4 linked regions of the Schizosaccharomyces pombe genome follow. The gene in region 1 interacts genetically with each later gene. Each region holds a gene or a part of one and is shown in the gene's direction. Other genes may lie near its edges. The genes, in order: ssp2, fnp1, zip1 and SPOM_SPAC1705.02.

What was found.
Region 2: mutations in ssp2 (region 1) and fnp1 together harm fitness less than expected from each alone (positive genetic interaction), as found in Schizosaccharomyces pombe (one large-scale study listed by BioGRID).
Region 3: mutations in ssp2 (region 1) and zip1 together harm fitness less than expected from each alone (positive genetic interaction), as found in Schizosaccharomyces pombe (one large-scale study listed by BioGRID).
Region 4: mutations in ssp2 (region 1) and SPOM_SPAC1705.02 together harm fitness less than expected from each alone (positive genetic interaction), as found in Schizosaccharomyces pombe (one large-scale study listed by BioGRID).

What each region holds. Positions count from the first base shown.
Region 1 is NC_003421.2:1,927,004-1,935,260, reverse strand, and holds ssp2 (serine/threonine protein kinase AMPK catalytic (alpha) subunit Ssp2), read left to right. Parts: upstream 1-3,286; 5' UTR 3,287-3,403; coding exon 3,404-3,551; intron 3,552-3,603; coding exon 3,604-3,836; intron 3,837-4,044; coding exon 4,045-4,396; intron 4,397-4,446; coding exon 4,447-5,444; 3' UTR 5,445-6,071; downstream 6,072-8,257. Other genes in the region: ppn1 (cleavage and polyadenylation specificity factor complex-associated protein), read left to right, coding at 7,054-7,222, 7,381-7,461, 7,582-7,792, 7,844-8,257. UniProt on the Schizosaccharomyces pombe protein: Serine/threonine protein kinase essential for release from glucose repression via the phosphorylation of scr1 upon glucose deprivation.
Region 2 is NC_003424.3:4,639,917-4,648,596, forward strand, and holds fnp1 (folliculin complex subunit fnp1), read left to right. Parts: upstream 1-2,390; 5' UTR 2,391-2,578; coding exon 2,579-5,107; 3' UTR 5,108-5,261; downstream 5,262-8,680. Other genes in the region: cornichon family protein Erv14, read left to right, coding at 1-8, 53-104, 160-449, 531-561; GTPase dml1, read right to left, coding at 826-2,223; SPOM_SPAC30C2.08 (uncharacterized protein), read left to right, coding at 5,644-5,806, 5,938-6,673, 6,730-6,826, 6,878-7,255.
Region 3 is NC_003424.3:4,295,824-4,303,129, forward strand, and holds zip1 (DNA-binding transcription factor Zip1), read left to right. Parts: upstream 1-3,991; 5' UTR 3,992-4,135; exon of another isoform or gene 4,136-4,198; 5' UTR 4,199-4,242; coding exon 4,243-5,235; 3' UTR 5,236-5,578; downstream 5,579-7,306. Other genes in the region: SPOM_SPAC25G10.01 (mRNA splicing or mRNA surveillance facor), read left to right, coding at 1-446; cruciform cutting endonuclease Cce1, read right to left, coding at 1,306-2,082; meiotic recombination protein Rec10, read right to left, coding at 5,579-7,306.
Region 4 is NC_003424.3:1,565,091-1,571,133, forward strand, and holds SPOM_SPAC1705.02 (uncharacterized protein), read left to right. Parts: upstream 1-3,724; 5' UTR 3,725-3,772; coding exon 3,773-3,779; intron 3,780-3,973; coding exon 3,974-4,070; intron 4,071-4,125; coding exon 4,126-4,213; 3' UTR 4,214-4,359; downstream 4,360-6,043. Other genes in the region: Tf2-2 (retrotransposable element/transposon Tf2-type), read right to left, coding at 1-3,127; extracellular leucine-rich repeat domain, receptor L domain-like Ecm33, read right to left, coding at 4,905-6,043.

The sequences.
Region 1 (8,257 bases):
ATGTTATGTTGTGTTAATAGTGATGTTTTGTGCTAGTGATGATTTATGCTGAAGTGAATCATTTATTATCAAGAGATGAATTGAAATGATATGGTGAAAAGAGAGAGAGAGAGAGCAAAGAGCATGTTTGGCGAAAACACAATAATTCGTACAGTAAAAACGAAACACAATAAATCGTATAGTAAAATAGAGGAAACAAAAAATAAACACCAATTTTTCTATAGTACAGGAAAACAGTTGATCATGTACTTTCCATCAAAAAGCAATAACCTCTTCTTCTCTATTGTCCTGATTTCGCTATTTTTCGGTACGTAAAGAAACTTACGAAATTTTTAAAAAATTAAGGATACGAGGATCCATTGATAACTAAGATCCAGTTGTTTGCAAGTGTATTATCCTTATCATCAGAACTGTTTTTTTTTAATTGATTTTGCAAAATAAACTATCTGTAAGAAATGTAGAAATGAAAAGAATAATGAAACCGAAAAAAAAGCATACATATGACTACAGCTATCCAAAACAAAATCAAATAAAAAACAACTAATAACGAATAAAAAGAAAAGTAAATCGTTTCAACTTAAATAAAACAAGAAGAAGTAAATTGACAAAGTTTCATATAGAATGAGCCAAACATCATTTCTATTCGCAATACAATCCTCTTTCCTCTAATATCAACCTTCTTTTCATTTCTCTATAATATAACCGTCTTGTCGAGTTCTTTCTCGGTAAATACCTTAGATAGCGGATGTGGGTAGATTGGATTTGAAATCATTGCATGGCGGCAATCTTTGATTGTTTAATTTTGCGCCTTTTTTTCTAATCCCCGATAGAGTTAACATATGATGAAGGACGTCGATACAAAAACCTGGAGAAACGAGATGCGTAAACAAGTCGGGAAATCAACAATCATATCAGAAAAGTTGAAAGTCAGAATACCAAAAAAATTAGGGAAACCTAGCATGACATTGTAATTTGTTGTATGCTATTGTCATATTAAATTGTTTGGATAGTAAGTAAAATATTGTTCATCTTCATCTTCATCTTCACTTTTTTTTTTAAATTCTTGTCAACTGCGTTTTTGCCTCCCAAGTTTTATTTACTTACCTCTTCTTTCTTCAATTAGCTGGCGATTCTCGAGGCTTAAAATCGACGACTGAACCCAGCTCTCTGCCTTAGCATTTTACATTGACATCCTTTACGCAATTAATTAATTATCAGAATATATTCATCTTCCAATGTGCTTTAGTTTTTCGGAAAAATTCATATGTCAATCCTAAAGTCGTTCTTTTTTATTTTAGAGGACCTTTATAAATCTCAAACGCTTCCCAATACTACACACTTTTCTTGTTCTTCTGAATTTCCTCGATTTTTAATATTTTTCTCTTTGAACAAGCAACATGAAAGAGTATCTCCCTAATCCATACCTCAAACTTGGCATTTTGAAATGAACAAAGGATTAGATAGAGTTATACTATACTGAAATAGAGGACGTTTGCAATGTAGAGATCTGCGATGTTTACACGAGGATAGTTATACAATGACTGTGAATGTGTGCGACAAGCAAATCATTGTACTGCAGAAACAAGAATTTGTGTCAAAATTTTTAACTCGTTCATGAATTAAATTCAAAAAGAAAGTAGACTTACTGTTTGCCAAGCAATATGAGGCAAAACTCTTATCCCGTTTGCTGACAACAATACGATAAACATGTTAATTCGCGAGTTGGCAAGGCATTGATATGTCTACATCATTAATGATTTTAGGAAAACATATAATGTCTTTTTGCTTTAATTTCAAATTAAACGAAATTAATGTTTTTATTTACTAAAACGCGAGTTAACAAGAAAGTCATTGCAAATTAGTGTCAGCAATACTACCCTGCGTTAAAATACATTACGTTGTGTATCAGCATGTTTCCTTATGTTAATATAGTTTTAAGACCCGTTTAAATACTGATAATCGCGGATAACTGTTCATCTAGAATGTTTGTGGTTTAATAAATTAGGATGAAATATAAATAGAGCCAAATTGAACTCAGGAACGACATTCACTTATAAGCTAGTTTAGTGATGGGTAACGATTTAACCCATATATCAATACATAAAATTAATTGCTACTCATGATATCTGTATACTATAATTAATAAACCACAACGAAATTTACCGTACTACTACACGTAGCGCAAAGTTTTAATTGCGTAGTTTGACCTAAAGCTAAAAATTTGCGAACTAACTTATGGTGGCATATTCTATTATATAAAAAAGTATCACTTTAAATGTGTTTGCTTAACACCTATAGATCGTGATGCCAGACAGCATGTGAATGAAGAAACCTCTATTCATCGTGTGAAATGAATTTTGTAAATAAAGTCCAATCACATGCTAACTTTACTATTTGAATTACAAAGATGCTTTTTACACGAAACTTGTTTACGAGGATGTCCAAATAAAAAAGCATTCCTGTGATTGTGATTTACCCCAAACAAGCTATAAAATTCGTTCAGGGTAAATTGCGCTGTATTTTTATTGCATTCTTATATTATCATACAAGTTGTTGACTTCGAAAACACTTCCCTGCTTTCTAAAAAAATTTTTATTTGGATTTTGATTGATAGCTTTTCTTAGAATATTAAATTTTTTCGTCAAAGCAAAGACTTTCATGCAAGAAACAGTGATAATTAGTCTGTGTGCCTTGTAAACAAATGAAATCAGTTCAGGCTCGTTATATTCATGATCACTGTTTAAATGTTGCTGAGAAATCACATCCAATATGAAGACTCTTTTCTAATAAAAAGCTTGTTCATTTCCTTTTTTTTGTATTAACTCAACCAGTACTTAATTGTTTACAAACTCAACGAAGATTTGACAAGAGCGTTATAATGCGATACACAACGCTGCACTTAACAACCATCTTATGAAGACTGTGGGGTACGCCGTGTGTTCCATTATATCTGGGATGGGTTCTTTACAAACATAATAAACTGCTTAATCATACTTGGATCATGTTATTACTTATACAGCCAAGATTGAAATGCGAACACTGTAACATGTATAAGTATTTTATTGGAACAGTTAACTGGGTTAGTTAAATAAGAGTTTGCAGTTTGCATTAAAATGAATAGTGTAGTAGAATTTTAATTCATTGAGTAAAATTCCGCATTGTGACGCAACTTCGTTAACTAGTAAAACGGTGGCTTAAAAAACTGTATAGTGTTATTTTAAACGAATTAACGAGTCCAATTCATATCATCTCATGTGACACAACTAAGGATGTATACTATGGCTTTGCCTTCTACCAAATTATATATTTATCTCACACTCTGAAATTTAAGCCTTGCTATTAAGGAAAAAAAGATTTTATCAATAAACTTTCAATATTGGATTTGCCAAGCGAATAGCTGATAATGCAACCGCAGGAGGTTGATTTAATGGAGAACTCAACCATGCGAAATGGAGCAAGAGTTTTACCACCAGAAGCCATATCCAAGCGCCATATCGGCCCTTATATTATAAGGGAAACCCTTGGTGAAGGTTCTTTTGGCAAAGTCAAGCGTAAGATTGCTAATATTTAATATCATGAGAATAGAGACTAACGTACTTGTAGTCGCTACTCATTACAAAACGCAACAGAAAGTTGCTCTCAAGTTTATCTCCCGTCAATTGCTAAAGAAAAGCGATATGCATATGCGTGTGGAGCGTGAAATTTCATACTTGAAGCTTTTGCGACATCCTCATATTATTAAATTGTATGATGTGATAACCACGCCCACAGATATCGTTATGGTAATTGAATATGCAGGTGGTGAATTGTTTGATTATATTGTAGAAAAGAAAAGGGTAAGTGGTGCGGTTTGCGAGTTTTTGTTACAGTAAATTTCAGAAGTGATGTTGGATTGGTTTGATTTGTCAAAATGTACAAGTTATCCGATTGTCTTTTTTAAAAATAGAAAAAGATAAATTGTTTTTGCATCTGAAATGTTGCTGATGAAGGCTTGTTTACAAATTTGAATGCACGAATTTATGTATTTGCTGACTGTTTTTAAAGATGACTGAAGATGAGGGTCGTCGTTTTTTTCAACAAATTATATGTGCAATTGAGTACTGTCACCGTCACAAAATTGTACATCGCGATCTTAAACCCGAAAATTTGTTGTTGGATGACAATCTCAACGTAAAGATTGCTGATTTCGGTTTATCAAATATTATGACAGACGGTAATTTCCTAAAAACGTCCTGTGGCAGTCCAAATTATGCAGCCCCGGAAGTTATCAACGGGAAATTGTATGCTGGTCCAGAAGTCGATGTTTGGAGTTGCGGCATTGTTCTCTATGTGATGTTGGTGGGTCGTCTTCCTTTCGACGATGAATTTATCCCCAATTTGTTTAAAAAAGTTAACAGTATGTTTGGCCACTTTTTTTTCTACTTATCTCTTGCTAAACGTATTTAGGTTGTGTTTATGTTATGCCTGATTTTCTTTCTCCCGGAGCACAATCTTTAATTCGCCGAATGATTGTTGCAGATCCAATGCAGAGGATAACAATTCAGGAAATACGTCGGGACCCTTGGTTCAACGTTAATTTACCCGATTATTTACGTCCTATGGAGGAGGTCCAAGGCTCTTATGCTGATTCACGAATTGTCAGCAAGCTTGGTGAGGCAATGGGGTTCTCGGAGGATTACATTGTCGAAGCTTTACGTTCAGATGAAAATAATGAAGTAAAAGAGGCTTATAACTTGCTACATGAAAATCAAGTAATCCAAGAAAAGAGTCATCTCTCCAAATCAAAACGAGTCGATTCTTTTCTATCTGTATCTCCACCCGCATTTTCAGAATATACTTCTGAATTGCAAAAGAAGTCAAAACAGGAGCTTATCGATCCTACTTTAGAAGGACCGCGTTGGACAGTCTCCGACCCTCCAACATATGCTAAACAAACAATTGACAGTAACATATGTGTCCTTGTGCCTACGGCAGAAAAAAATAAACTTGAAATGAGGACTCTTGCCGATGCTGCTAGTGCTGTGGATACGAGCCAATCCACTCGCAAAAAGAGTCGCCGTAACAAATGGCATTTTGGTGTTCGCTGCCGGGGCGATGCACCTGAAATTTTGTTGGCTGTGTATCGAGCTTTACAACGTGCAGGAGCTCAGTTTACCGTTCCAAAACCAGTAAATGGAAAATATCGATCAGACATGTATACCATTAAAAGTCGTTGGGAAATTCCTCATTGTAAAAGGGAAGGAAAAAATACTTATGCTTATATTGAGTTACAACTTTATGAAGTTATGCCCGGGTGTTTTATGCTAGATGTGAAATCTAATGGTTACAAAGATATTTATTCTCATCCTGAACGAACAGCTGATCATGGCATGGATGATCTTAAGTCATCTTTCCCATTTTTAGATTTGTGTGCTATGCTGGTGTGCAAGTTATTTTCTGCATGATTTATTGTAACTCCCCATTTAACACGCTGTTTTCAAGCATCCCTTAATTACCCATTGTTGAACAAATCTACTCAATAGCAAAGACACATTTTATTTTTTTTACCTTTTCTTTTAGCGAATAAGGTTGCATGAAGATACTAGTGTCCGGATTAATTACCGCCATTTTCTGTTGAAACATTTATGAATTGATGAATTTAGTGCCATTGTATTATCAACGGTTTACAGAAGATTTTGGTTTCACTCGTTAAGTATTTATCTTGTTATAACCATAATACATTTGTTGATATGAAATAATCGAATGACTGAATGTTAGGAGTTTATTGAGTCCTTTTACTTTTCATGCGGGTTTTCTCTGATAACTGAAATTTCCCATTTATCTATATGCATGACGATGTTGATTATATATGCTCACCTTTCTTTTAATAATAAAGAAAACCGTTAAGAAAAAAAAAATTTATACGTTTATGTTAATGTAAACGAGAATCAAATCAAAGACTAGTTAATATGCAATTTTTTTTTGCAATTTAAGAACGACTTGCAGCTGCGACATCGAGGAACTAGTCCATAAAGAGTATTATTTTCCTTTATCTTTACTTTAATTCAAATACAAACCAATTCTATTTAAAATACTATGCTAGCTTGTTTGTAATTAGTTGAACTTTATGAAGAAAGCAATTCCCCCCCCCCCCTTTTTTTTTTAAAAAAAAAATTGTTAAAACATCTGTACATCAAATTTTGCAAATTTCTTTTCATAAAGAATGTCAATAGAAATGTCAACTTTAGTGTGATAAAGAAAAAAGCTAATAAAGAAAGTTATAGACACAAAATGTGAATTATGAAACGAGAACAAATGATTGGTATTCTTAATTTTTGTATGTCTCAATATTTAAATTATTTGAAAATCCTACTATATATTCCTCAAAATTTGTAGAAGGTATTTTCATTCATTTTGTCTAAAGGATTCATACATTCCACAGTTAGTATATAGATTAATTTGTTCCATTCTGCAAAAAATAAATAAAAATACTCCGTTCATAGAACTGGTGCACAGCTTACTCTCAAAAAAAAAAAACAATGTATAAATTATGTTTACTATCTAATAACAGACGTTAATATGAAGACCGGTTAATGTATGAGGAAAAAGAGATGGGTTCAAAATCACAAGAGAATGAAGAAAAAAATAAGAGTATAATATCCTTTTATTCTTAATTTTTTCTAACGGAATTCGTGAAAAGATTGATCCGATCTAAAAACGGTGAATCATTTTGTTTACAGCTGGAAAGCCATTTGGCATACCAAGTCCCACACGCCAAAAATGCTTCTTAAGTCTTCTATTATTGTCAATATAATTAAAAAATTAAAAATCTACTAAAATTATATTTTTTTATTTAGTTTTAACTATTAATATACACGATGGTGTAGCGAAGGGTTTAGAGAACTCCAACGAATTTCACAAAGTTGCATGTTCAGTTTCCTTACTTGAATAGTAGTCGACGTTGATCCTTTCTCAGCGTATATCCTCAGGAAACGATTAAATCGGCACAGTGCGAATTTCTGAAAGGTTCAATTTATTCGGAGTATTACTTTGAACCTCTTTGATATTTAATTAATGGATAATTGGAATTCCGTGCGAAATGTGTCGAGTGATAGACAAACAAGTAAAACGTCAGAAAATCCTCCACATACTTCCAATGAGTATAGTGGAAAACCGGAATTTATTAATCTGAGTCCTGATTTAGAAGAAAACTTAGATGAAAAGTTAATGAGTGCTTTCCCTGGTATGCAGGCTATTAAAGCGGGGATAGAGAGTTGGTCAATAATTTGAAATATTTGCCTCTACGGGCTGTAGCGAGTGATGTCTTGATTGCTTGTTCTCTCTTTTTTCTCTGCTATTTTTGATCCTTTCTCTTAGAATTCTACTAATTGTTGCCCTTAGGCTTAGAACCTCATGTGTTTCAACACTCCCAGTCACCTCTGTCACATAAAGATGCTTCATTGTTAGCTACAATGCCTTCAGGTATATTTTCTTTTGTTTATTCATTCTTTTTATTTTTATCTCTACTATACTGAGTTTTCCTATGTTCTCAATTTTTCTTTTTCTTTTTTGATTCGTTCAATTTGCTAATATTTATCTTAGTTGCCTCATCCAATCCATCACTCATATCTTCTGGATCTTCGCAAACTGGCTCCCCATCACAATCCTTGTCCTCTAATAAGGAACCAAGTTCTCCTGGCATTTCTCCTTCCAATGACTCTCAATCACAAAATACTAATCATACCTCTATCTCAGCCAATCCATATGTTAATAATCCAAGTCATACTTCAAGGAATCCGGATTCAGGATCTTCGTAAGTTTATTTTGCCTTAAAAATTTATTTATGACTAACGAAGCGCCTTAGTTTAAATACCGCCTCCCATGAAGTACCATCATCAAAATCAGACGTGAACGTTCAAATGCTTGCACGATTAAAATCTAAATCTCGTCAAAAAATTTCTTCCTCTGATCCGTTAGAAGATTTGCGCCTTACTCTGACTGAGTGTTTAAACCCAATTAACATCGTCCAAGCTCCAAAAGAATGTGCTGCAATCCTTGTTAATCTCATGAGCAATATCACCCAAGATGATCAAAAATTAGTTTTTCTAGATCTTCTTAAAAGCAAAGTGGGGAATAGTATTTATAGCCAACTTGTTGACGGCGGTCGTAAATTGTTCCTTCCTAAACTACGTAACTGGTTTGTATCAGCTATTCGTTCTAAACACGACGAACTCATTCATTTAATACTGCTCGTGCTAGCTAATCTTCCTCTTACGAC
Region 2 (8,680 bases), on another chromosome or scaffold:
TGTCTTTTGTAAGTTGGGGATCTTTGAATTACTTAGCTTATACTTTTTACAGGCTGAATGGTGCCAATATGCTTCTTCAGATCTTTTGTGTCATCATGTTTAGTGTAAGATAATTATGCAAATAGAAAAGTAGTTGAAATGCTAACTTAATTATTTCAGGATTTAGAGATGGACTATATTAACCCTATTGATTTGTGCAACAAGTTGAATGATCTTGTAATGCCCGAAATCATATCTCATACATTAGTAACACTATTACTTCTTCTTGGAAAAAAATGGCTTTTGTTCTTGGCAAACCTGCCGTTATTGGTATTCCATGCCAATCAAGTCATTCATAAAACTCATATCCTTGACGCTACAGAAATTTTTCGCCAATTGGGTCGCCATAAACGTGACAACTTTATTAAAGTTACCTTTTATCTTATAATGTTTTTTACTTTACTTTACTGGTAAGTTTTCGCTATTCTTTGGAGCAAATGCTCTTGTTGTTTTAGCGGCACTATTTTTTATAATGTACTAACGGATAATAGTATGGTCATGTCCTTAATTCAAGAAGAATAATGTTAAAAATCTTGGAGAGGAAATTCTAAAGCCAATGCAAAAAAAAAGGATACTGTTTTCTTTCTTAATAGTTACATGATTGAATGACATTAATTATTAGACATTAGGTAATGAACTTTCGACTACTTCGTTGCAAACAGCTGATAATGAGGGAAAAGCTCATTTAGTCAAGCTTATTAGAAATTTTCTCAAGTAATCATTGGACTGTAAAAGTATTTGGAAATTTCATACTTTGAACTATTCGCCCAACGTATTCCTTGATTTCTAAATAATATATGAAGATAATATTTCTCTTATTTCTTCAAGTTCATCTTGATCAACAAATGAAACAAAGCGACGATTCAAAGATTTTGTAAGACCTTGAATGTGTGAATTAATTTGACCGTCATTCGTAGCTTCCACAAAAACAGTATCCAATGTGCGCAACCCTTCTGGAACTGTCTCTAAGCTCGGCAATCCTAAATTTTGTATGTTTACTATTTTCGATATGCTACTTGCGTTATAATTTTTTCCTTCTAGTAATCCTTGATTATCTTTGGGGCTGCGTACGACTCCAAATAAACAATTGTTTTGCTGACTGTAATCTTGAGCAACATTAACAAAGGAGGCACTACTCACTAGTGCCCATTCTTTAGACGAGTAATTTTTTGCTTTAAAGTTCAAATTATGGATAAAACCTCTTCCTTCTGATTGTAGCTTTGATTCGATATCTTTCATTCTGTAGCAGGAAGACCCGTAAACCCTTGTGGGCAATGTAAAGGACTCAATAGCCAAATTAATTTTTGCGGAGGAAGCCCAAAGGTCATCACCTTGTGATATTGTACACAAAGGGAAGTACTGAGAACAAGATCCGTTGAGCTGAGATAACGAAAGTGCTTCATTTAGTTTTCCGAAATGATTATCAATAGTTGCGGATGAATCTGACTGAATCGGCTCTCGAATCCCATAGACCCAAGTGGGAACACGACATTCTCCTAGCTCATCTTGAACTACTTTCATGTATTCGCTCGCAAATCCACCCCACGGAGTGTCTATGTCTATTGCTGCTTGAAACCCTTGGACGCTATCACATTCTTCAACAAGCGGCCTCAATCCTTCATCCCATACATTGAATTGCTTATCAAAATCATGAAACCTTTCTACACCGAGTTGAAATGAAAAGTCCGATGAATTCAGTTCCGAACAGTTTACTGGAAATAAATACTCAGTATCTAAAAATAACCGATTGAAATCTGACCAATATTTAACGCTTTTTGGACGAATAGAAGGAAGTTCATATTCTGATTCTATTGCGTTTCCCTCATGGATCTCATCTCGACTCCAAAGTGCTTCTTGGTACGGATGCACATCGACTGGAGTCTGCATAATCTGCGTGAGTTTACCATCCCATGCTGTACCTTTTCCTCCTGATGACTCATTTAACTCCTCTAACCAGTTTTTTCTAGTATTTCCAAACTCAATTGGAGTATCATATATGCACTCACGAGGAACCGTAACAATAGCTTCTGGATCACGCTTTTTCAGTACACGGAAATTGGTGTTTACATTAACCTTTGCATGATCGTTCGGATCGTATACAAAATAAGACTCTTGAGTGTTCCAAAAATGCGTCCAACAGAAGTTGCTCTTTCTTCCAAATGTAACTGTTAATATTTCATGCATCGAATATGCAAATGCCTAATAGATTGTTAAATGTATTTTGTAAAAAATGTATATACATGTATTTTCTAAATATCTAAACAATACTTGAGATAGATTTCGTAACCATAACCCTAGTTATTAGAAAATTGGTGTGAGTTAGTTATACCGTTACTAGCTTCTGTCTACCTAACCAACGCCAGTGAGAAACTGCTGCTGGGGAATGTCAAACTAACGTAAGAGTGAAGTTTCAGTACATGCTACTGTTATTTCTAAGCATCCTTTTTTAATTTTGCAATTCAAAGCTTTGTTTTCTGTGTAGAAGCATAGCATAAAGACTGAACCTGTAGAAATTAGTTACCGCGTAATGCGTTCTTAGATGCTTCATTTTTTATTTCATTCAGGATCTTCATCAAATAGAAACTCATCGCCGAAAGAATCCTATGAGCTTCTTCATGGTTTGGACAAACAATATCAAAGTACTAAGGATGTAACGTTTCGTCTTGTCCTCGTTCAAGACATCGGAGACCGAAAAAAAACTGTTTTGTTTGACTCTAATCATGTGGATGGTCAGAAAGGAGATAGTGTGCTTAGGGACTCGGCAAATGCTCCACTTACTGATCTGATGTTTGGAGCAATTCCTATCTCCCATAAAGGAACTACCACAAAGTTGCATATTCTTCATCCCCCTAATCCTGCCACAAGGTCTTATATGCTTACTCAATTATTTCAAATCAACACACATGGTACAGTAGTCAATTCTAGTCACGAAACGATTGCATCTGCTACTTCATTATTTGAAAATAGTAGTTCGAACTTTTCTGAAGACCCTAATAAACCCAACTCAAGCGATGCCTTTGAATCGAATAAAGAAGACAGTCCATTATTAAAGTCTTTTAATGATAGCGCTATCCCTGAGAATGCAGCAAATTTATCTTCTTCTTCTAAAAACATGAAAGATTCTACTTTAAGCAGTCAAAAAGCTCGTTCGAATACAAGTTCTTCCTTTTTAACACCTTTGCATGAGCAACTGGAAAGTCGCTGTGCCTTACATACAGCTGCTAAGGATCCTTTTCGATCTAAAAATTCGCTCCGGTGTAACAGGGGGCATTCCCCTCTTTCCTCCCAACAAATTTTGCCTGCAATTTCAAACAATACCTCAGAAAAGCCTGATTCCAATAATTGTGGTTTTCTTCTTCCTTCAAACTCAACATCAATAAAGGATTTAAAAAACGTAAAGAAAGGAAACAGGTTAAATAGTCCTCCGTTTATTACTATTCCTCAATCCATCAAAAACACGAATTCTAATTTTCTGCTTTCTTCACCTTCACTTTTTAGCGATACTCGCACTCGTCCAGCTTCGTATGCTTTAGCTCTTATCATTACTGTACCTTATGAATATGACGAAATTGTTCATCCTGTCAGTACTTATTATACTATGCTATCAAATTTTACGCTTTCTTTGCAGAAAGAAATAGATGAACGAATTCGCAATCTTTTGTTTGTTTCACTTAGCAGTGGGGGGGATAACAAAAATGATACAGGAATTCCATTAATTCAGTCTTCATCCTCAAAAGTAGGTTTCGGACCATATGCTCTTAGCAAAGATTTGATTACAGCTAAGAGTTTCCACAAATGCATATTGTTACTGAAAACTGGGTTTTCGGCACCATTGATTAAGCCTTCAGTATTTAGTGGCAGCAAATGGGTGGAAAACATGCGATTGTTAACCGACTTGTGTAAATCTCCAGCCCAGAAGTGCTTGTTTAGCAATTTACTAACAGCTACTCGAAAATTCTGTTTGGAACGCCAAAAAGATGATGTTACTTTTAAAGTGTTATTACAGTCTAGCAAAGCACCAATAGCTCGACGTTTTTTATATCTACTAGCTCCATTAATGCGACCGTCAATTGCGCAATGTTCCGATACGCTTCTTAATCCTATTCAATTATATCCCAACTCTGGAATACTCTCATCATCTAGTCTTTCTACTTCATTTGGTTGTCCTTCTGTCTCTGGCTCTTTACGAGTACCTTCCTATGATATGAAGATAAATGATTCTTGCAAAGCTATAGATATTCATTCAGAGAAACCATCGTTTGCTGATTCTCCTAGGAAAACGTCATTACGAAATTATTTGAGTAGCAGCTGGCGATTAAAATTTATGCGTAGTAGTTACCAAAATAATGAGACGGATCCGCTTAATCCAACTTCTGGTTCTTTTTTAAGACAACCAATGCAGTATAGTTCACCCTCGGGTGTTTCGGAAAGTGCAGCGAGTAGTTTTTTGGATATAGAAAATATCGATGAATATTTGGAAAGCGCTGAGAATATGAAATATTTACCAAGGTCAACTGTAGGACCAGGAGGTATGCTCCATGTGGATCTTTTGGAAACGAATGCTAAACAGGAATCTGAGGCAACTACTTCCACCGTTCCTCCGTCTCCTTCGCAGGTGGGATTTTTGAAAGCCTTACATCCTTCTTTTGACTTGCAAGCTGCCCCCCCGAATTCATATGTATCGTTTTCTGATGATGATTTTATTTCCGCGACATTGTTATATATGCTAGAAGACGTTTCACGCAACAAATCCCAATTGCTTGCTGAGAAAAAGCATTTAAAGTCGCAGCTCATGGTTGCTAATCTTGATACGTATTCTCTCGATTGTTACGAAATACACGAGTTTCCTAGCGAGTGGGAAAATGATTATGCGCCTTTCTTGCTTAAAGAACATCACAAAGTCATTGGCGAAACTTACGTATCATCTTTTGACATTCAACAAGGCTGCTTCAATGTTATTAAAAGGCGTTTATCATCATATAAATGGGACAAATCTGATGACTCCTTCGTAAGCGAAGTTTTGAAAGGCGATTTGAAAGAAGTTTTGAGGGTGTGTTCTCATTGCTAACTTAGTATATGTAAACAAGAATTTTACACTATTCAATATATAAGTTGTCAGTAGAAATGAAATAATCCTAGAATTTTATAAATTTTGATTTGACAAATTTCATTTTTTTTCCTGCATTTAGTGGTTCCGGTTGAACATTGCTCAGTAATAAATTATGTGATCAAAAAGTGATTGTTATAAATTATGTTTAAATATAGCATTTATTTACTAAAAGGTTGAAAAATTATCTGTTAGTTATTTACCGTTGGGCAGAAAACTCTAAAACACATGGCATGCATCCTTCATTCAAAAGAAAGAAATGAACGTTAACAAACTAAATTTTATGGTTGTTTTTTGAAATTATTCAAAATTTTCTACGTTAATGACACCAGCTTTTCTATTTCGAGGTTTCTCGTTAACCATTTAAGTATTTCCATGTTTATCATACCGTGCAGTTATCCTTTTCCAACCACCCACCAACAAATATTGTATTTGAATATTGTCTGTATCATTCGTTTAAGTGTTTTCAATATTAGTTCAAAAGAAATACAGACTTAATGATGTCTTATGAGCCAGCTGAGCCTGTCCCCGTGGAAGAACAGCCAATCTTGGAGAAATTGATAGGCATCCGTCAACGCCTAGCTGTTTTGAAACGAGATCGTACGAGATTCATTGAGAAAAATGAGGTTTTTCATCTGAAAGATGAATTAGTGGAACAGAGTATGTAATTCGCTAATATTTGTGTCAAATTATGGATGCATATGGATGAATGAATGGTCATCTGTGGGATAAATATTTGGCTCAAAATTTTGAAATTTAAACAAATTTTTGCTAACTAAGTTTCATTATAGTGAATTTATTGGACTCTAGACGATCGACGAATAGCACTCGAACTATTGTTGATTCACAGTTAGAAGATTGTTTGCACCTATTATCTTTATTTTATCTAGCGATTGGACGTAACAACGACTTGCCTGCTTTTTTCGTACAATTGGGAACTGTTAGAAGGCTTTTAGAGTATAATTTAGAAGGTGCCTGCTATACGCAGAATGACCTTAAGCCTCTCAAAGAAAGGTTGGAACGAATTAGGGCTGCAATCGTTGAGGGATCTAAAAAAGAGGATGCTTCTCCAGTTGTTGTAAAATACCTGAATAACAAACTTGCTGTTTGTGATAGAAATTATAGTGAAGCCCAACATAACATTTCAAAGATTTCACCAGAGCTTATAGGTATTCAAACTCGTTTGGTTTCTATTCATCGTCAAATTGATGGTTTTGCCGTTCGTCCTACATCTGACCCTGGATTTATTGACCGGACAATGGAACAATTGAAGGAAATTGAAGAAATGAAGGATTCTAATGGGATGTTTTGTGACGCTGACCATGTTCCCTTACAAGGTCAAGAGCTGTGTAACGGTATACTTGAAGAATGCTTTAGTTTTCTTGAGGATGCCAAAACTAAGGAAGGTTTGTCTGATGAAATGAAATCAAGTCCTAAGTTACAACAAATTTACCACCGTCTCGACGAGTTGCTTAACAAACTAAAACATCTTACACTTACTCATCGCTGGACTTTACGTGAGACTGAGTACGTTTTTCTTTAGTTTTTTTTTATCGAAGAAACCTTTTGCTAACGGATTTTAGTCTTTACGTTTATCGTGCTTCTCTAGCGGAAATTGACTCAATGCGTATTGATGGTCAATTTTTGGACGAACAAGGCAATGCGCCTGCTGGCCAAAGGGTAAGGAGTTATGCAGAAGTTATATGAAATCTCAGCTAATTGATATGTTAGATTCTTTTATATTTACTACGCCGTTGTTATGCTTACATATACCAATTACTTTCTAGCAGTGAACCAGTGTCAGAAGAGCTTATGGCCGTACATAATCAACTTCGAACTGTTAAACGCTGCTTACTTGAAGTTCAGAGAAGCGGAGGTATTTGCTCGGAAAGAGATTTGTATCCCTACCAAATGAAGTTGGCCTCATTAGAGAATCTTAGGGTGAACGGAAAGTTTTTGGCTTCCGACCATTCCGTACCCGAAGGACAAGAGCTTGTGAACTCGCTTTTGACTCAGTGTCATCAATTAATCGAGGAACTTCGCGATGAAAAGCATCAACATGATATAGAGGAACGAGAAGGATCTGAGAACACGGATGGAAACTTATAAACGACTTTTCTTTCAGACACAACTGTATTGAGTTAATGCCTATAAAAGTCATAACCTTCCGTTAACTTTTATGAAGTATTAATAAATGTGCTGGGAGTGTTTCTGTGCGCATTATAACCTTCGGTTAAACTTAAATGAGTCAGATTTGAAAATTTCATTTATAAAATTTCATCTCTTTTTTTTTTCACCACCACACCTTAAATACTAGTCAGCTTCTTAAAACTATGACAGCGATTTTTTATGAATTTTCGAAGCCTCTTATTTGAATACCGGTTTGGTGCTTTGAATTGCAAGCAATGGCTGTTTGATTTTTTTCAAAAAGGGTTGAGGCTATTGGAACTGTGATTTGTCCGAGAATTCAAGCACTGTTGTCATTGTCGGTGAATTTTGAAGCGATACGCGATATTTATTTTTTTTCATTATTATACAATAAAAGGCTTAAGATACAAACTAATTTATGTGAAGACATAAAGAATAAAAGTATTATGAATCATTTTGAAAACTGGTTTGTTTTAAACACTCGCTGCGTATACTTGAACAATACGTGACAATAAGTAGTAATTTTCATAATACGACAAACCGTATTGAGACATGGAAGACATGGAAGTTCTCATTTAGTAAGTTGTATAAATCTCATTAAGATGTTTTACAGTAATTCTGCTTTGCATTTCATTCCCTTAGCATCAGGCAGAAAACGTTTGAGGTAATCTTCCTCTGAACATTTTTCGACCAACAAATAAGCAAAGGAATTGGTCCATAGTAATTTAAGCAAGCAAAAGTGAGTATTGAAAACGAGTCACTTTGCAGATGTAAAAATAAATTCAACTAATCCATGCGCGAAGCCAAACGCAATTAAGAAGCCTAGGAATTATAAAAAAGGGATACCATCATTCTGCAATTGAGACAAATAAAAATTCATTATTTAATTATCAAGATTCGTGATTAATATGTATGTGTGTGTGTGTGTGTGTGTGTTTTTTTTTTTTTTGGGGGGGGGGGATATACACTGGCTTTACATTCAGTAAAGGCTCAATTAATTCATAATCACAACAAGTTTGAGAAATTGAAAAGAGCTACCGCAAATAAGACATGTATAACAGCAAGCTGGATTAGAATTCTAATTAGTCGAACCATTGAAATTCTTTTGATTACTGAGGTTTTGAAACCATACATTTCTCTTAAACACCAAACATATGCAACCTTAGTGTCGCACTGCTTATACTAATTTTTAAGATTCTCAGTACGATTAGGTTCAGCGCTATATATTCTTATCAAGGTATCCTAAACGATTAAAAAGCATCACCATTGTAAATGATTAAAAGGAAATAAGGATCAATTATTGTAAGTAGCGGGTCTGTTTTCCTCGATTAGTCTGTGAAGACATTCGCTACAGAAAAAGAATGCACGTTAACAAAAGCACATGAG
Region 3 (7,306 bases), on another chromosome or scaffold:
CAACTGTTGAGGAAGCAACCTCAGCTATTGACAATTTGAACTCTCAGGAATTTTACGGACGAGTACTTAACGTTCAGAAAGCCAAGCGATCTCGCCCTCATTCTCCAACTCCAGGAAAATATATGGGCTATGATAGAAGAAGAAATTCCAGGGATTTTCCAAGCAACAATAAAGATGGGGGATATCGTAGAAATAATTATCGTGACCGCGATTCTAATAGATATCGAAACTCTTATCGTCCATCTAGGCCTCAACGAGAACATTCTCCCGGAAATTACCGCAAAGAAAGATACAACGTTGATTCAAGACCGAGAAGAGAGCGACATTTCCATGGAAGGTCCTTTGCTCATGCAGAGCATCATTCTGTTCCTAACATGCGCAATGATACCCCAGGTAATGAAGCCTTACCTTCACACTCTTCGGTGCCTCCAAACGAAGATCAATAATTAACAATTTGCTTAATATAACCTTTTTATCATATATCGCTACTCTTTTTGAGTTTCCTTTGCTTACTTTCATTTAATGAAAACCTTTTATAGTTAACAGTTTATGATTCGTTATACCTTAGGTTCGTTTACTTTTCTTCCTTGTATAAACGGTCTATTGCTTATTATATTAAATTTTCCCTGAAAGCTATCATGTACCAATTTCCAAAAGGTGTGTGTGTTTTCCACGTGTTTATACTACTAATTTTTTCTCGTCTTTCTTTACTTTAGGGATTAAATCTTGTGTAAATGCGTGTTATCCAGGGTTTACTCTGTTGGGGAACTAAACAATCACGAGTTGCGTTTTTTTATGTTTTTTTTAAAGGATCTCAGACGCTATCATGGTCCTCTTATGACTTTTGTGGCTTCACTGCAAGTTCTACTTTTTTCTTTACGTCTTCAAAGCCGTTTCATACAAATTTATTATAAAAAATTTCATTTTTCGGTGCTGTTATTGGTGCTTTTGTATGCATGAAATATAGAGGATATAAACTTGGGTTTTTGAAATGAGCAAGGTCGGGTTGCTATTTTTAAGGCCTTATTACCTTTTTTTGTTTGTCATCATTCTTATTTTTTTTAAAAAATTCATTTCATGTTCTTTATGTTTTGTTATTTTTCATCGTTGAAGTTTAGAATAATGCTCAAAGAAGATCTTTGATACATGTGCCTGCATTCCTTTTGTTATCATTATTAATTTTATGAATTTAGTTTAATTTCTTCCTTTTTTATAGGATCATGAAATGCAATATACGATAGTTTTTCTTTGAATAAAACTACAATATACAAATTGGCTAAACATTCGTACGGCAATCGTTCATTTCTATTGTTTCAGAAACTGTTTGCAAAAGTTTCTATAATGCTTCAGTTGGGCTTGCCATCTCATCCAACCGCTTGCAATCAAAGCAGAATCTGCCATATCGTCCTTTTTAAATTCAACCCTAGAACCGTTGTTCCATTTATACAGAGCTTCTTCATTTTCAAATAGGATTTTTTGACCATCTATTAATTCCTTGACCATTTGTACTCTACTCTTCTTCTTTGAAAAAGATGCTTTCGTATTCAAAACTGATGCCCAATACGAGTATGTAGATTTTGGGGACAGAGAAAGAAGGAAAGGATATTGTATTTTCTGTTCGATTGAATTTCTTTTTTCTGCGTAGTGTAACGCATACAGCATGCTTTCAAGCATATTTACTCGTAGCGTCCACTCTGGAATCGTAGCAATACCGGAACGATAACGCTGGCGTTCCATAAGAATGACATGCGGATTGAATTTTTCGTGTAATGTATTAAACAGTTGTATTGAAAGATCAGCCATGGAGCTAGGCTGGAAGTCTTCGGTCCATTGTATATCAAGCCCATTTTTTTCAGTTAGATTTTCAACAGACCAATTGTGGATAATAACTTTAGAATCTTCATTTTGACTTGCAAAGCAGTAAGAGAAATTTTTGATTCCCAAGTCAATACCAAGTACCCGAGAGGTGGGATAAATAGGAGAGTCAACAATTCTTCGAAGCAACTCATCCTTTCTTCCACTTCTTGACAATCCAGTTAACTTACAGATGTGCTGTAAAAAACTAAGTTTCACAGTAGCCATTCTGTAAAAAAGAATAAATTGACATAAAGAAACGGATATGAAGTTGTAAACCTATAGCAATGATTATGTTTTTTTTTTTTGCAAAAACAAGGAAACGAGGCAGTAAGAATTGAGTTTATTCAAATAAGAAAAAATGATTATTTCTCTTAAAATGAATTGTTTTTAGAAGTGAACAGTTTTAGATGCTAGATGCAAACGTGAAAGATAGTATATGGTAATACAAAAAACGAAGGATTGGTAAATGGGAGTCCGGGAATTTTTATTTCACTTACGAGTAGAAACATGTAATTTTTTTTCTTTTATTCCATAAGCTTGCGATGTTTGAAGTCGTTGACAACGTCTTGCTTAGTTCAAACTGCTAGTCACCTGGGAATTATCTGAATAAATAAGCATTAAAATATGAACAAAGATTGGCGAGTCCAAGTTTATGTGAAATATCAACAACGATATACGTCGATTCATAGGAGGTTTGAACTCATCAACCTAAAGTTAGAAATACATGGCAAAAGAAATTTATCACAGATTGTTAATATGTTTGCAATCAGACATTGACTTAAATCAATTCTTAAGACTTGTTTGTAAGTGAGCAAGTTTATTATTGTTTTATGAATGATCGAGGTTGTGTAAAATGGCACAGTTTGTATTTGAAAGCTAATTTGGAATCCACAAAATTTAAGATATATAACAGAAAAGCTTTTATACAGCTGAAGTCTTCATTTAATACCCCGAATCCGTCATTGTCTTTTATTATAATACCGAGTTTCTATGCAAGTTAGGTAAAACTCCATATTTGAAGTCTTGGACATTGAAATACTTAAACTGTAACATTTGTTTTAAACTATTAGGATTAAATTTTCAAAGTTTTGATGGCACACATTGTACTATAGTTAGCAAGTATATAGAACGGCGATGGTTGACAAAAATGAACTACAAATGTAACCACGGAATGAACGTGAAGGTTTATCGGATTTTGATTTTAACGCTGTTTAATTTGTATTCAGCTACCTTTAACATTAATGATGAATTTCTGCTATTGGATTTCTAAAACTCCTCTGAAAGCATATAGCAGACAATGTCTTACGCAAATACAAAAAATGCTTTAAGGATTTCAAAGCGTTTTCCACTGATTTTTTTCTTATGCAAAAAGCAAATCTATTACTGACTTTAAGCTTGAACTTCAATCATTCTCATTTCTATTTCGTTTCCATATTCTATTATAGAGGATCTGTCAAGTAACATGTTTTGTATTTGATTCTTTTTTTACACAAGCAGCACTAGTATGAATAAGTTTTAAGAAGAATATGACTTTGTTCCGGAATATATTAACTGACTGAAAAGTAGAGAATATACTGTTTTTAGAAAAAAAAAATTGCGAATTGTCTGACGCACTATTGTTTCAATATATGAACCGTTGTTGGGGATGAAAAATGTTCAGTAAAAACCCCAAACTTAAAACTTATTGCGCATGTAGATCTAAAGTAGTTTATTCAATTAACTATTCGACTGACTATTACAACTGGGCCATTGATATATAAAATGAGCGAATATTCTAATGGCTTTAGAATTTTCAATATAAGATAAAACTTCCGATCATTTACACAAAAAGCAAGAACTTAAGACTGCTTTTTAACTCTCATTAATAGCATACGACTGATTTCTTTAGGATTTTTTTCCTAAATAGCAATTTGTTAGTGACTTATATAATAACGTTTTTCTAGCAGGTTTAAACTACTACGGTAACAACTTCTATAATAATTAACGGTGCACTATCTTAATATAGGATAGTTTTATGAGGATCTACGTACAGCTACACTACATCAGATTTTTAACGCGGAGATTGTAATCTCATTATTATCTCAACGCTGCATGATCCCGATCGCAGACGTGCTGGCTCAGTCATCAAATTTTCTACGATTACCAACGTAGCGTCGCCATTCATCGAGTCACTAAATTTGGTGGTTTAGCTCGTTTATTGCGAACGGTTGAGTGTGTTTTTTTTACCTTTGTGAGATATAATTTGATTAGTAACGATAATTTTGCCGTTAAGTCTTAGGTAAGCTTATTGTTGGAGAGTTCAGTTTTTTAGCGAAATTCCATGCTAACAATTGATTTTCAGTTAATTTTAAGAGACCAAGAGTCTCAAGATAAAGCTTTTGACAAATGGATTTTACTCCTAATAGCGCTATCAATCACTTGAATCTTAAGTTCGATGATGTTCCTGTCTCTGACGATTTTTCAAAGGATGATCTCGCAGAGCAATTAAATGTATTCACAAATCCATACTTTTTAGATTTAGAGCCTTCTAGTATGCTTTCAGAAGGCTATTATGGATTTGTTTCTCAACCTTCAGGTTCTTCCAATTCCAATAAGCAGGAAAAGAACGTGCAGCAACAGAATCCCGAAAAAATTTCGACTTTGCAGCAAGTTAAAGAGGAAGAAGTTAGCAATACCTTTTCTGCCCCTTTGAATGCAACTGGAAATTTTTCTTCTGCTAATCCTGCTTCAATTGATCTTGCTTATCTCGACTTGCAGAAACTCCTAACCCTACCTGATCATTCAAAGGAAACTCAAGAAAAAACTTCGTCTCAACGAGAGCTCTTTGAGCAAAAGTCTTCTGTTGCTTCAGCCTCCAAGGATAATGTTTCTTCTTCCTCAATTCTCCAAGGTTCAGCTTCCTCCAAGTTACTACCTGATCAATCTGCAAGACAACATCAAGTTTTGGTTGGACAGACTGCTATCCCGACTTCTGAAGCTAGCAGCTCTATTAACAATACCCCTTTACAAGCTCCCGTTTCTTCATTTGCTGATCAAAACGCATTTACCAATCCCCTTTCCACTTTTGCCAGTCCTGATTTAGCATCTGTATCTTCCCCTAGTCTTTCTTCTTATAAGGGTGCTCAGTCTCCCAATGCTAACAGTAAACGCACCAAAGCTACTTCTGCCATCCGTACTGCTGCTGAGGAAGATAAACGTCGTCGAAATACCGCTGCTAGCGCTCGTTTTCGCATCAAGAAGAAGCTTAAAGAACAACAGTTGGAACGCACTGCTAAAGAGTTGACTGAGAAAGTCGCCATTTTAGAAACTCGTGTTCGTGAACTGGAGATGGAGAATAACTGGTTGAAGGGACTTATACGTCCTACTTCTAACTTTTAAAAGTGGTTTTCTTTCCCTGTTATTTTATACCCCTGTCTTCTGCATTGATATGTTTATTTCTTCGATAATCATTTATTTAACATATAAAGGTTTTCTTTACAGGTAAACTTATGTTTTCTTTTGGAGCAAATCTTTTAATTTTCTTTTTTTCTGCGTATGCATCCAACTGCTACGTTCAAGTTCATCAGTTTTACGTTTACTAGGTAATGAATTTGATAATATACCTATTTTTCTCGTGTTTCTTGCTTTACGTAAATAAAATATAACGCTTCCAATGTGAATTGTTTTAAAGTAATATGTCAATATAAGCCAATATCAATAAATTTGATACTATAGGTTCAAGCTACTTAAACATCAAACTGTCAATTTGGCTGACCAGATTAACTTCAATTTGCGCCAATTCCTTTTCGATGATCTTATATCTAGCAGTTTGTCTTTTCGAAAATTCCTTAATCACTTTGTTACAATTTATGTGGTAAGCCTCAAGCTTTGACCTCAATTCCTTCTCGTTCTGTAAAATGCCCTCGTATATTTGATTTCCTATCATAGAAGTATAACGTTGTAAACCATCAATAGTAGCAGATTTGCTAGATGGATTGTATGCTTCGTTCTTCTCAACTGTCTTAAAAAATTTGTTGTAGGGTATTTCCTCGAGCTTGACAGTTTCCGCATTGGGATTCCTGTACTCAAGTTCCTGGCGATCTGATATCAGCGTACTGCTACTTGAGTCTGGCTCCTTGTCATTAAAACATTCATTATTAGGCGGGCTTGAGCAGGTACCATCTAGTAGACTGGTAATATTTGGAGTATTTGCTTGTTTAACAAAGGTAGAGAGATCAATTTGACGACTATTTCCAGTAAGTTGAGGCTTAGATTCCTGTTTCCAATGTTTCTCTTTAAGAAGTTCTTTCCATACGGAGCTTTTAAGACTATTATTTCCATCATGGCAAGTAGTAAAGATATCTGTAGCTGTTTCATGCTTTACACCATTATACCAATTTCCATTCGGTACAGGAACTGGAGTCTCAATATTCTCCGAAGTTAAATGGTTCATTTGTTTGTGACCTGCAATGTTTGCTATCGTAGGAGGCTTCAAGGTTTCGTCGTTAATTTTGCAAATGGGGGTTTTCGGACTGTATTGCAAATTAACATTGGATTTCGCCTTTTTATTTTTCACCGAAGATTCTTGATTTTCAGTATCAGGTTTTAAAGATTTTTGTTTTTTTCTTTTTGTCGATTTTGCAAACTTTCCATCTTTTCTTCTTTGAACCGGTGTCTTTTTGGCGGGCCCCGTTTGATTGATTACATTCTCATCAGAAAATTCAGGAACAGAATTGATTTCTTTTAGATTGGTTCCGTCTTTGCTAGCTATCTTACTCTTATTCTGGTCTTCTTCGAGATCCTCAATTTGCGTCTTGCGTTTTGTATCATAAGCATAGTCATCGGCTGATAAAGAATCTTTCACATCTGCAGGAATGTTTGAACTTGGAGTATTTTCAGTGTTAGTGCACTCATCGTCGCACACACTCTTGTCAATGACCTGATCCTCAAATCTTTGGTACGCCAGTTCATCATCTAAATGCGGTAAATTCTGGGATGCTTGCTTGGAAGTGTTAGGAAGCTTTGATTCTCCTTCTTTTATTTGAATTATTGAACGGTTCCTTAATGTCAATTTAGGAGAAACAATTATAGCTGGTAACAGTTTGTTCATGATTTCTTCAGAAGTCGAAAAAAGCTCGTCAAATTTATCGCCATCCTTACATTGGAAAACAAATTCATCTAGGGAAGATACTTCAGTAATAATTTTTAGAGATTTGACTTTTTTAATCTTATCGATAGTCGTGACAGATGTCCAAGGAATTTGTAACAGAGCAAATCCTTTTCTATAAACGATTAAATCTCGGGGCTCTAAAACCAGAGTAGCTATTGTTGAATCAATATTTGAGCCCGACGAAAATAAACCTTCATAAGCATGGACAGTATTGGCAACACAGGTGGAAAAAATGCGGTCCGCCTTCAAAATTTGCATAGTCAAACGAGTTTCAAATTTAGAAAAATCAATAAATAGTTG
Region 4 (6,043 bases), on another chromosome or scaffold:
TGCCGAAATAAGCAATAACTCGTTGATCAAACATTCGAGCTGTTTGCTCTGCTGTAATGGATTTCGTACAAGGTACTAAGATTGCCATTTTTGAAAATCGGTCAACTACCACGAAAAGTGCATTATAACCAGATGATTCTGGTAAAGCTGTAATAAAATCCATTGATAAAGATTCCCAAGGTCTTTCTGATGGGGGAATTGGTTGTAAAGGTCCATAAGGTTTATGATTCCTAGATTTGTTTATTTGACATGTATGGCAGTTCTGTACATATTCTTGTATTTGTTTTCTTATTCCTTTCCACGTAAATCTACGTAATATAATGTTTGTAAGAAGTTCAATGCCTGGATGAATCAATTTACCTTCTTCATGATACTTTTTAATAATTGTCCTAGTCAGCTGAGTATCATTAGGTAATAAGATTTGGTCTTTACTGTTAATTAGTAAGCCATCTTTGAGTTGGATATTCTCTTCCACTCGTTTGTCTTCATTGTTTAGTAAATTCAACAATTTTGTATCATTCGTATATTCTGTAACCACTTGGTTTTTAAAATCATCGGTTATCGAGATTTGATTAACAAAGTTGATACTATTGTCTTCTGAATCTTTTGGAATTGGTTCTGTTTCGTCAACAATTCTGGATAAGGCATCAGCTATGTGATTTGCTGATCCAGGTCTGTAGTTAATTTCAAAGTTGAAGTCTTGTAAAAATAATTGCCAACGAGCTAAACGTTTGTTTTCAGGCTCGGATTCGTTAGTAATGCGACCAATTAAGTTTCGATGGTCTGTTAAAATTTTGAAAGGTTCGATAGTGGATTCTAAATAGTGTCTCCAATGTTTGAGAGACTTAATGATTGCAAGCATTTCTTTGTCCGATACGCTATAATTTAATTGTGCTTTAGACATCTTTGCTGAATAGTATCCAACAGGATAGTATTTATCATCATCATGTTTTTGAGACAATACGGCTCCTACAGCGACATCTGAAGCATCAGTTTCCAGTAGAATCTTTTTACTGAAATCAAAGTGTCGTAGCACCGGAGGAGAAACTAAACATTGTTTAATGTTTTCTATCGCTTGGGTTTGTGTTGGTGTCCATTTCCAGCGTACATCCTTTTTCAAAAGATTATTGAGTGGATGTGTTAATTGTGATGTCTTTGGAATGAATTTCCTAAGATAATTGACAGAACCTAGAAATTGTCGTAATTCTTTACGATTCTTAGGTTGCTTCCATTGTAAGACTTTGTCTATATTTTCTTGACAAGGCGTAAATCCTTTTTCCGAAATGTGATACCCTATAAATTTTACTTGTGATTGGTGAAATTCACATTTTGCTTGATTGATAATTAAGTTCGCATTTTTCAATTTCTGTAGAACGTCTTTAACATGTTTTACATGTTCAGATTCCGATTTTGAATGAATTAAAATATCATCCATATAACATACTACATGTGATTCTTTGGCTTCACCAAGTATTGTATTGATAAAGTATTGAAAATGTGCTGGAGCTGTAGATATGCCATAAGGCATTACTAGATATTCAAAAACTCCACGAGGACAGCGAAAAGCAAGTTTATGTTCATCTCCTTTTCTTACTCGTATCAAGTGATAGGCACTTTTGAGGTCAAGTTTAGTAAAAATTGTAGAACCTTGTATTTTAGCAAGTAATTGTTCAATAAGTGGTAACGGATATATATTGGGTTTGACATACTTATTTAAAGGTTTGTAGTCAACCACCATTCTCAAGGTGCCTTCCTTTTTCGGAACGAACATTACTGGACAGGCGTTAATGGCTTTAGATTCTCGTATAATTCCACTTTTTAATCCTTGATTAATTTCATCATTCATAGCTTGCATTTTTCCCGGTGGTAGCGGGTAATTTCTGATAGGTAATCTGTAGTTTTCTTGAGTTAGTTCAACTTCAAATTCTAACCCTTTTATTGGCTTTGGTAGCTTTTCCGTATTGGTTTCTGCAGTAATGTCTTTGAATTCTTTATAGATATCTGGTAACTCAGGTTCCTTGACAATATTTGAAACTTTGTTCATTTGAGAGAGCGTGTGTTTACTGCTAGATATTTCAATGTTATTGTCATATAATGTTGTGAAGGAGATAGCAGCTGGATGCGAAAATTTCTTTACAACCAAGAATTCTGTTTTGATTGATATTCCATTTAGACTTATGTTAAGTTTTATTGTTTTGCGATTAATCTTATTTGGATAAACTCCACCATATATCACACTTTTTGACCAGGGTCTGGTAGGCAGTTTATGTGCTCGAACAGTTTCTTCTGTTATAATATTTGCTTGAGCGCCCGTATCGATTAGACAGGGTATTGAGCACTTGAAGTCTGGAAGTTCAGCTTGTAATACCATTTCGTAACGTTTCCTAGTATGATTTAGGAATTTGTTAGATGAGTATTCTATTCTCGAAACATTTGTCTTCCTCAGGTTTCTGCTATTAGTGGTGTTATTTTTCTTTGAAAGGGACTCTTTTCCTAGATTTTTATTTTGCAGTTGAAAACGCTTGTGAGTTTTACCATACGAGGCTGTTCTTTTGTCCTCTAAAAAGTCATAAATTTCACTGATTTCTGATTTCCAGTAATTTCTTTCCTTTAATTTCCTTAAGGAATATGGCAGCATCCATAATATAAACAAGCGAGTATGGAAATCATCAACATTTGCTTTTGACATGAGTTTCCTTATAAATTGAACTTTGTCCAATTGATTTCTAAAACCTTCAAATGTTTTAGTTAAACGATCACCTTTGTTGGATCCTTGTACTTTCCCTGTTTGTCTGAGTAATTCTTGCCATGTAAGACTTCCATTCTCAGAAAACATGCGTTCAGCGAATTGTTGCTCTAATTCTTCTAGGTGATTCAATGTATACTGTCTTTTAGTATGCTCATTTGGGAATAATGAAGGGTATTCAGTAAAGTGTTGATCAAGTTTTGAAATGTAACTTTCAACATCCTTATTAGGATCGAATTTCCCTATCTCTGGTACATGCTTCGATAATATTTTTGCAAAAAGGTTTATTAAATGTTCGTCTGATGTTTGAATTCCATCCAAATTCTCTGGTCTCCATCGTTTTGCTCTTGCTTTCATATAACGATAATTTGCGTAGGACATTGTATATGTTTCCCTTTGGGAGATTTCAAAAGGGATAACAGTCCTTCCAAAGTTCTTTCTCCTTTGAACCCAGAAGGAGAGAAATATATATATTTATGATATATATTTATTCAATAATTCCTTTTTCCTAAAAGGAGTTAATTGTAGATCACAAGAGTTCAGTTATTGTAAGCTACGCAGTTTGGTATCTGATTTAAGGATACGTAGAACTGCGGTGAGTTTTCCTTGTGATCTATTATATTACAATACACAGGTTGTATAAGTAGCAACTGAGTATAGGTATTGTATTAACTGGGTTATAATGTTACCTATCACTAATATAGCTCATAACTGAACTGAGGAACGAGGTTCAGCAGTAGCTCTATTTATAGTATTCAGATAATATTGATCTTAATAGATTATCATTAAGATCAATCTCCATATCGTATCATACATGGTACGATATATAATTAGAACATGTGACATATAGTGATACTCAACGTAGTGTATTATAGCGTAGTGTAGTATTGCTGACAAATATTTCACATTAACGATATATGCTATATTTCGTTAAGCTATGGTCACCACCATAAATTGCCCGTTTTTCTTTTTTACCTCATAAGAAGTGTGAGTTGCAGTTTGATTGATGATACAATTTTTGCTAAGATGTCTCGTAAGTTTTAAACCTTTGAGAATGAAGAAGAAATTCTAAAAATTATTATCCCCCTCTCAGCAGGGAATAGCTGCGTTGAACTATCTCTTTTATACTTGCTTATTGATTTTTAGTATTCTTTTAGCCTTTTTCACATTCTGATATTCATTAAAATTAAAACTATATCTATAATTTGTAATTACTAATGTTACTAGGTGGAAATCAGCGTGATGTTGACCGTGCTCGCAATTTAAAGAAGTCTCAAGCTTCTAAAAAGAAACAAGCCGGAGATCCTACCAAACGTCTTGAAGCGTAAGTGGAATGGAATCAGGATTTTGTTTAAAAACCAATTAGCTAATATTTTAAGTCAAGCTGAAATTATGCGTGCTAAACAACGTGCAGCTGATGAGCGCAAGGCAGCGGAAGCCAACGGTGGCTCAAAAGGAAAAAAATAACTATATTCGAAATTTTGTTAAAGGGCAGTTTATTCCATCCTTTTAAGTGGTGTTTTTCCACAGTACATTGGCTCTTTATTCTGTTATTTTTCTTCAATTTTACCTCTATTTTGATAAAAACAATAAAATCTATATTTCTAAGTAAAGAGTAAATAAACTCGGTAGTCTTGCAATCTATAATAACATCCCATTAAGTTACTTAATCATTTACTCGTAATTTCTTAACTCTCGGTTATGCATATCATACGCCTTATGTCTCATCTTTGCCAATCAAATTATTTTATTACTAACTACCGCGCGCCTTGTATTAAAAATTAAAAAAATCAAATTCAAGATATACTAAATGCAAATATTCGATAGACTAATTATAAAAAAGGCAAAATCAATAACTTTGAAAATAGCCTAAGAGCAACTCATATAAATAATTTAAAGCTCAAATTAAAGAAAAGGAACATCAAACCTTCTCAACACTTTTCTAAGATCATATAGAAGTTAATCTCTTCTAAAGATATATGTTTAATCACACCCGATTATAAAGAAGAAAATAAAACGGCCTGTATTAATAAACATTTCAGTAACCCACATCACCAGAGATAAGCCAGCTCATCTCGCCAAATAAGTATCGGTAACATTCAAATATTAATTTTCTATACTTTCGATAAAAAAAGTAACAAATTGTTCATGACGACACTTACATAGCAAGAGCAGCAACCAAAAGAGATCCCAAAACTAAAGCACCAGCAGTGAAGCCGTTAGAAGCGGCTGAGCTTTCATGGGAGGAAGAGGAAGAGGAAGATGCAGAAGAATCAGAAGAGTATGAAGTGGTGGTAGCAGAACCAGTGGCAGATGTGGCAGATCCACTAGTAGCAGAGACAGTGGAAGACAAATCATAAGAACTAGTAGCAGAAATGGTAGCAACACTACCTTGGCAAGTGAAATCATCACCCTTAATAACACTGTCATCATTGGACCAAGGGCAAGTGAAATTGGTAGCCTTAGTCTCGACAGTGAGAGCACCCTTCACATCACTCAAATCAGGCATATCAATGCTTGAGAAGTTACCGAGAAGAACTAAACCACCACCAATTTCAGAGATGACGGGGAAACCATCAATAGAAGTCAAACCAGTATCGTTAATAACGAAACCACCACCAACAGTGGTAAGGTTAGGGAAGTTGAGGGAAGTAAGCTCAGGAGAGTACAAAACAGCAAAACTTTGTCCGATTTCGGTAAGGTAAGGAACCGAAATGTTATCCAGAGTAGTGTTAGAGAAATACAAGTTACCAGCAGCACTCTTCAAGTTACCAATAAAGACGTTGCTGATACCATCAAAAGTAGCAGTGGTAACGTTAGAAAGTTTACTGAAGTTTACGCTTACACCCTTAGAGTTAGCGGAAATCTGGATATTTTGAGCACTTTCGAGGCCCTCCATGGTGATCTCCTGAATATAACGATTGTTGGTTACTTGGAAAGTAGTGACGGAATCCAAACTGATACCGTCAATAGCTTGAAGTTGAGTGTCATCAATTACGACACTATCAGAATCGGAAAGACCAGCGTTAAATTGAAGCTCCTGTAAGTTTGGTAAAACAGCAAGATTTAGGCTTCCAACCGAAGTGAGCTCAGGGGTAGCAAGGTTGTTCATGCGGATCATGTTGTTAACGTTAAAAGCACCAGAAACGTTTTTCAAAGAAGGGAAGGAAAGAGAGGTCAAATATTGACCATCAGAAACCACAACATCACCTTGAACGGACTCAATTCCATTAACAGTAAGGGTGGTGATGCCAGAGTTACCAGCATCAGAAATGTACAAATCACCATTCAATACAG